Linked DNA regions of Callithrix jacchus. Each later gene encodes a partner of the first gene's protein in a complex. Links are inferred from orthologs where the notes say so. Each region holds a gene or a part of one and is shown in the gene's direction. Other genes may lie near its edges.

Region 1 (3,500 bases):
GGCCACATGCATCTTCTCCCTTGAGGCCCAGCAGCCCACCTCCATCCCACCCTCGCCCCACGAAGGAAAGAGCCCCAGAGTAGGCAGGGGACTCACTGCTTTCCTCCTCCCTCTGACTGCTTTCTCTCCTCCCTCCTGCTGCAGTCTCCTTCTCACCAGTGGGTGAGTAGCCCAGGGTGGAGGGCAGGTTCTGCCTGGTCTCTGGCACCGAGGCCAGGGTAGAAGGCACAGCTGAGCTGATCCCCGAGAGGCCAGCTGGGGGCAAGGTTGGAGGGTTGCTAGAGGCGACAGGGTGCGCCGAGGCCCACATTTCCTGTCCTGTGTCCCCACAGACACTAACAGCACATCTGGAGACCCAGTGGAGAAGAAGGACGAAACCCCTTTTGGGGTGAGACAGGAAGTAGAAGCTTGCGCAGACCTTGGGATGGGGAGGCTGGGTGGAGGCTCATCCGAGCATCATTTCTGGTCTGAGCTGAGAGATCGCTACCGTCTGGCCTGAGCTCTGTCTGCCACCCTCACAGCCACTGCGTGGGGTCCCCAGGGGAGGGGAGGTGGGTCTGGAGGTCTGGCTCTGGGCTCTCCTGCAGGGTTAAGATATGGCTTGCGATGGGCATCTCTGAGAGTGCAGGAGAAACCCCTGGGTCTAACTGCCTGCCTTCCTCTCCTCTGCCCCAGCAGGTCTCGGTGGCTGTAGGCCTGGCCGTCTTTGCCTGCCTCTTCCTTTCGACGCTGCTCCTTGTGCTCAACAAATGGGGACGGAGAAACAAGTTTGGGATCAACCGTGAGTTGGAGCTGCACAGGGCTGTCTGTCTGTCTATCTGTCTGTTCTGGCTTGGTTTCTACGGGCTCTTCCTGACTATGTCTCTGTCTCGGGGCTGTCCACACGGGAGTTCCAGGGCGTGTGAGTGTGTGGGGGTATAAATGAAGGCCTGGCTGTGAGGCTTGTGTGAGTGTGTGTGTGAGTGTGTGTCGGGCTGGTGCTGGGGTCGTTTCAGAGGCGGCAGCTGCTAATTGGTGGCTGGATTGTAGTCAAGCACTAAGTGGGTCTGGGAGGTCTGGGCTCTGTGGGGGTGAGGGGGGAGTTCTTTGGTGCCCATGGGGCCAGGGGTGGGACAGGAGCCAGCACAGGGAGAGGCGGTGGTGCCCCCTCCCCCTCCCCCCTGCCTGCTATCTCACTCCCTAGCTCCTCAGTCTCTCCCCTGCAAGTTACAAGGTGGGGGTGACCAGGCATCCTGCAGGCAAGGATGGGAAGGGCCAAGGTGTGGGCAAACCCTTCATGTGTCTGTGTCTCCTCCCCAGGCCCGGCTGTGCTGGCTCCAGAGGACGGGCTGGCCATGTCCCTGCATTTCATGACATTGGGTGGCAGTTCCCTGTCCCCCACTGAGGGCAAAGGCTCTGGGCTCCAAGGCCACATCATCGAGAATCCACAATACTTCAGTGATGCCTGTGAGGGGCCATGCTGGGTCAAGGGCAGGGGCGAGTGTGTGTGTGTGTGTGTGTGCACGCAGGTGTGCGTGTGCTGCCCTTACCCACCAAAACCTGAACCATCCCTCCCTTTCCAACCCTATTCCAGCCATAGCCCCTGTCATATTCTCAGGCTGAGCTCAGACTGGCTCTTACTAGCAGCCCCACCTGGAGCCACAGCTAGCCCGAACCATGTCCTCTCTGGGCAGATGCAGCCCCACACTATGACATGGGGCTTGGTGAATTTCAGCCCCCACATAGCCCCTTGTCTGGGCAGCCTTGTGCAGCACACATCTCGGCCAAGACAGTCCCCCCTTACAACCCCAGCCCTCCTGAGACTGGGGCTCCACCTGACCCTGCAAGCCCCTCAGGTGTTCATCACATCAAGCGCCGGGACATCGTGCTCAAGTGGGAGCTGGGCGAGGGCGCCTTTGGGAAGGTCTTCCTTGCTGAGTGCCACAACCTCCTGCCTGAGCAGGACAAGATGCTGGTGGCCGTCAAGGTGAGACCCTGCCCAAGAGGCACCGCTGGCCTGGGTCCCACCCCCAGGAGCTCCATGACATCAGGACAGAGTGGGGACAGATGCCGAGGGCTGACGTGGCTGGAGTGTCACTGATGGCCAGCAGTGAGGGCTGGGCCCCCACCTAGTCCTGTCCCTGCCCCTTCCATGCAGGCCCTGAAGGAGGTGTCGGAGAGTGCCCGGCAGGACTTCCAGCGCGAGGCCGAGCTGCTCACCATGCTGCAGCACCAGCACATCGTGCGCTTCTTCGGGGTCTGCACCGAGGGCCGCCCCCTGCTCATGGTCTTTGAGTATATGCGGCACGGGGACCTCAACCGCTTCCTCCGGTACCAGTCCCTGGCTCTGGGCCCCGTCATCCCTCCCCGATAAGCACAACCCTGCTTGTCTTTCCAACCAAGGGGAGACACCAAGGAGGATCAGGAGGGCACATTCCCATCCCCGAGTCCCCAGGGAGCTCTGAGACGATAGAGGAGGCAGATGTGTGAATGGGGGGTAACTCTTGCAAAGGACAAGTGTCAGTAGTCAGCGGGGTTGCGATGGCCAAGACCATGAGCTAAAACTCTGGGGTGAGTGGGCTTCGCAGAAGGTGTATGTGCATGTGTGTGGCACACAAGGGCCAGGCCTGTAAGGGTGGCAGTTTAATAATGACAATAGGAACAGTAACGAGCACGGATAAGGCACCTTCCATGTTCAGGTGCTGTTATATCCTTTACAATTTATTCTTTTTTATTTTTAAAAATGTATTTATTGTTATTGTTTTAGAGCTGGGTCTTGCTCTCTTGCCTAGGCTGGAGTGCAGCCTCAGACCCCTGGGCTCAAGCGATTCTCCCACCTCAGCCTCCCCAGTAGCTGGGGCTACGGGTGCACCTCACTGCACCTGGCTCTACAATTCGTTCTTATTATGGTTCTGTGTGCTGGTACAAAAATATCTTGTACAGTAATACAAACATGTATTTATTTTTATGGCCTCCAGGCATATATTGCAATTTATACTTGAAGCACGTTACAAAAAAATTCATTTCTTTGGCTTTGGACAGAACAACTCTGATATGTTTCACTATTTGTGCTGATAATTTTCATAGCTTCGAGAAACGTGCCTGTTTCACAGATATAAGCCTTAGAGAGGTTCTGAGACTTGCCTGAGTGCATACAGGTGGCAAATGGTCCAGGGGTCGTGTGACCGCGGGCACAGCTCCTACTCTCAACCCCTATGCGATGGGCATCGGTTCCCTCGGTGGAGTCCTTCCCTGATGAGATCGCTCCCGTGAGGATGGGGCGGTGTTTGTAAGGCAGGGAGAAGCGGGTTTGGAATCAGCTGCCACTTAAGAGCTGAGCCTTTTTTGCCAAGTAACTTTCTTTTCTGACCTCACTTTCCTCACCAGTCAGAGGGACAATGAGCAGGGGCTGTGGATCTGGATGAGCAACTGCTGTGTGGTTGGGAGTGATGGATCATTTATGCAGTCAGGCTGCTGCAGGACTCAGATAGGAGGGACCCCTGAGTCTTGAGCTTATCCTG
Region 2 (4,039 bases), on another chromosome or scaffold:
CTCCTTTGTGGCATCCACACGGGGTAGAGGTCCAACCTACCTTTGCTAAAGGAAGAAATGAAGACACAAACAAGCTCAACACAGGAGGAAGTGGGGCTGGAAATTTCCAAAGAGCTAAGAGTCCCCTGGAATGTTACAATTAATGATGCACATTTGGTGACAAATCTGATTTCAGGGATATTTCTCCCTTGCTAGTTTTAGGCTGGGGTGGGAACAGCCCTGGCAGAGGGGCAGGGGTAAGTCAGGCAAGGTACCCTGCCAGGCTGAATCCAGGGAACTCAAGAAATCTTAGAGGGTCAGGAAAAAGATTCCACTTCACTTAAGGTGGAGCAGTGAGAATAAAGGGGAATTTGTATGGGTCCTGGAATGTGGAAAGAGGAGCATGCGGGTCTGGGCAGAAAGTTAGGTGGCTATGTCAGTCTGGGGTCACAGACCCGTTGCAAAACTGACAAAAGCTGTGGACCTTTGACACAGAGAAGAATATTAGCCCTGCACACAGCCGCGCACAAATCAGCCTACAGTTTCGGAGGGGCCAGGGACCCGGAAGCTCCTGGAACCCAGGGCCTTAAGTTAAGGTCGGGGTCTAGCACCTGACTCCTGAAGTCCTCTGCCCCTTATCCCATGCTGGACTCGCTGGCACCTGGGGGCCTTCTAGCTGGTTCTGCCGCCGCCTTCCCTTGTCAGAGGAGCTTGGGCACCTGGCCGTCGCAGAGCTTCCCCTGGGTGCTCACCTATCCCGGGATGAGGAAAAGCACCCCGGAAGAAAAGCTCCCTTAGACCATCGGTGCGGGGAGCAGCCGATGCCAGGGGCACCGAGGGCGATGCTGGGCAGACCAGGGAGGCGCTGGCGACGGGCAACGCGTGGGGGCAGGGCGAGGGGGTGAAGGAAGCTGCGAGCAACTCCGCCCAGCCCCAGGCAGTCGGCGCAACGACCCCCGCCGGTGCCCCAGAAAATCCCCCTCCCAGCTTTGTGCGCGCGGCCCCTCAGGCCCCAGTGGGTTTCCCTTTGACCTCTGGAGGTTTAAAGTCCTTCTCTGGCTGGGTCTGGCTAACCCTCCAGGAGCGATCGGTCTCTAGTCCCCAAGACCCCCTCCAGCCGGGCACCACCGCTCAGCCACAGCAGGTGCGGGGCTGAGGGTGGGGAGGGGAGGGATGGGGGCCAGGATTGGAGTGTGTGTGACTCAAGAGTCCGGGAGGAGGGGCTAAGAATTCAAGAAGCCTGTGTGAGAGCAGCTCGGCGCTCCGGCACAGCAGAGAGCGCTGGGAGCCGGAGGGGAGCGCAGCGGTGAGTCAGGCTGCCCCGAGCCGATCCCGAGAGGGGCGCAGCGCGGGCGCGGGCCGGGGTGACTGGGCTTCTCGGGGAAGTATGCAAGGATACCGGTCTGGTGAGCTCTCTGGTTAACCCCCGAGGCTCCCGAGGGCCGAAGAGCAGCCCTAAGAAATGTCCCAAGTGGGTGTGGGGGCGCGGGACCCTCGCGGGAGGACGAGTCGGACCGAGGGAGCAGCGTTCGTTCTGGTCGTGGAGTTCCTAGTCCCGGGATGGCCTGCGGTCCAGGGGGCAGCCCTGGCGTCTGCAGAAGCCCACAGCCATGCCATGGTCCAGCTCGAGGGCTGTAAGTGGATAACGCACAAGAGAGGGAGAGCGAATGGGCGCGGAGAGGGATGCGCGGGCAGCAGGCGCACGGGGCGGGAGGAGTGGTGGCCTTCACCGAGGGGGCAGCGCAGAGCGCGCGGGCCGAGGTGCGCGCCGAGTCGGGGAAAGTGCTGTGCTGCCCCCAGGTAGGGGAACTGGCGGGCAGGTCGGCTAGACCTAGGGCAGTTCCCTCCGCGTGACTGGAAGGGCTGGGAGTCGGGACTGGGGGGCCTGGGGACTAATGCAGGAAGCCTGCGAGCCAAGGTCGGGGTCCGTCCGGCATACCAGAGCCCTCCATGGAGCGGAGCTGGACAACCTCAGGCAGAGGTCGCCAAGGTTCAGCCCTGCCACTTGGGCCACACGCTTCATCTCCAGCTGTCTGCTGCCAGGTGTGGGAGAAGCTGGCGTGGAAGGTTGGGGCGGGCGGCACTTGGGTTCAGGCGAGGAGGATCTAGGGGAGGGAGAGAGAACTCAGGGGTCAGGGAACTCCAACTTTGAGCCCGCAGAAACAAGCAGCTTAGCAGCTCCCTCTAATTACAAACCTCCTTCTTAAAAAAAAAAAACTCCAAGATTCTTAAGGAAGGTGTTTCGCGCTTGAGCTTTTTCTTCTCTTGTGATTTGAGAGATTAAAAAAGAACCTGCTTGCTAGGCTGGTTTTTGCAAGTTGTTCCAGGTTGGAAGTTGTAACAGTTCGAAGGATAATTTATGAGTTTTCATGCATTAAAGTGTATTACAGCAAAGCCTTTTGGGTGCTGTGGGCATTAAGGAAAACTTAGTGCACGTTCCCAGCTGGAAACCAAAATAGTGCTCTCCTGGGTGCCTCTGCCCCATCTGTCATCCGAGGCCAATGAAAATCCTGTAGAAAAGGCACTTGATTAATTGTCCTGGCTCCATCCTCTGGGCACACCCACCGCCAGTGCCAGTCCCCTCCTTTCCAATCCATGCACAGCCAGCTGCATTCTGCAAATGTAGAAATGACAGTGGAGGCCCCACCAGTAACTTCTCTCCAGGGTCTTCAAACTCTTGAAGCTGTCAGTTAGGTCTGCTGGAGGGGAGTCTTTCCCCTTCTCCAGGCAGGGCAGAAGGGCAGCAGCCACTGGCCCCTGCCAGCCCTTCTCACCCTGTGTTCACCGTTTCCTCCTGAGTGTCTGAAACTTTCTCCCTCTGCAGAATCACAGAAGAAAGGCTATATCAAACCTGATGAGTCTCTTTTGTTCAATAAGTCATATGTCAACCTGAGCAACCCAAATGTCCATTCATGATGGGCATGTTCCCAGAGGGTCAGAGGAGTAGGGCGGGTCTGGGGGCTGAGGCTGGCCTGGCTGGAATTGACTCACATAAAAAGTGAACGTTCCTCTTGATGAAGGGGGATAATGTCATATGTGGCCAAACTCTTACCCCACTCTTTCCCCAACGTCATTTATGTGGGTGAAAAAGAGAATCCTTGAAGCGGGGGGAAAGGGGGGTAAGCACCCAAAATAGGAAGCCAAGATCACTGGGGCATGAGAACAGTAGTTTGACAGATGTATAGGAGTACCTCAGATGATTTTATAACAAGCTGCTGGCACCACTGCATTTCTGACAGCAGCCCAGGCTCACCAGGAAAATGGAGAACTAGGCCCACTCAGGGCAGGCATTCCAGTGTTGGTGGCTCTTTCCCTACTTTTAACCCTTACCAAGGAATGAGGTTCTTGCCTTCTTCTATTGCCCACCCCAAAACTCCCCCACCCCAAGGACCAGTGGGAGCAAGAGATGAGGCTTCACAGTCTCATTCTCTTTCAGGGAGAAATCTGTGCCTTGGCTAAGAAGGGGGCCCTGGCTGCCGACATCAGCAGGGAGAGTAGGGTAGGGCAGGGCAGGGCTGGAGCCCGAGGGAAGTTTCTCATCATTACCAAGATTAAACTGATGAAAAAAACCACACAACTTTACTTTTTAAAGTGTGCTGAGCACTCCTGCTGCTCATTCATGGAGTGCTGTACTGCATCAGAGCAGCAGGGAAACTCCACAGAGATTCGGCCACTGCTCTTCTTTACTGGGCATGGAGCAGGGCCAAGGCCCAGATCCCCAAGCAGATGTCAGTGTCAGACCCCGGACTAGAGGCCCAGCCATATACCTTTTCCCAGTAAGAACTTTCAGGGACTTTAGAGTCTAGAGCAAGCCTTAGAGACCTTTGCTGGCAGCAAATCCTCTGCTCTCAGGAGGCAATGGAAGGTTTGCTGAGGGCTTCCATAAAAATCTCTGGATATCTGTGTACAAATAACACATACTCCCAGAAAAACACCTTTCTGTGACACAGAAAGAATTCCTGTGTCTTTCTTTGGCTTGCACCTCTGATCTCACAAACTATCAGCTCTCAGGCTTAGCCAGTACCGAGAAATCAATTCTGTGGTGGATCATTTTGAAAAA

The links. Proteins that work in one complex are often made in the same cells at the same time.
Region 2: the proteins of NTRK1 (region 1) and NGF are in contact, whole or in part, in a crystal structure (PDB 1WWW), measured with the Homo sapiens proteins. The link is inferred for Callithrix jacchus from reciprocal best matches to the Homo sapiens genes NTRK1 and NGF. Residues at the interface, in NP_002520.2 of Homo sapiens: His291, Val294, Glu295, Met296, His297, Cys300, Pro302, Phe303, Ser304, Leu333, Glu334, His343, Gly344, Cys345, Arg347, Thr352, His353, Met379, Asp380, Pro382; in NP_001424474.1 of Homo sapiens: His125, Pro126, Ile127, Phe128, Arg130, Gly131, Glu132, Phe133, Ser134, Ser138, Ser140, Trp142, Tyr173, Phe175, Arg180.

The regions. Positions count from the first base shown.
Region 1 is NC_133519.1:17,273,666-17,277,165, forward strand, and holds part of NTRK1 (high affinity nerve growth factor receptor), read left to right. Parts: intron 1-144; coding exon 145-162; intron 163-332; coding exon 333-388; intron 389-678; coding exon 679-781; intron 782-1,299; coding exon 1,300-1,446; intron 1,447-1,835; coding exon 1,836-1,966; intron 1,967-2,137; coding exon 2,138-2,310; intron 2,311-3,500. UniProt on the Homo sapiens protein: Receptor tyrosine kinase involved in the development and the maturation of the central and peripheral nervous systems through regulation of proliferation, differentiation and survival of sympathetic and nervous neurons.
Region 2 is NC_133508.1:153,317,312-153,321,350, reverse strand, and holds the start of NGF (beta-nerve growth factor), read left to right. Parts: upstream 1-1,239; 5' UTR 1,240-1,539; coding exon 1,540-1,613; intron 1,614-4,039. UniProt on the Homo sapiens protein: Nerve growth factor is important for the development and maintenance of the sympathetic and sensory nervous systems.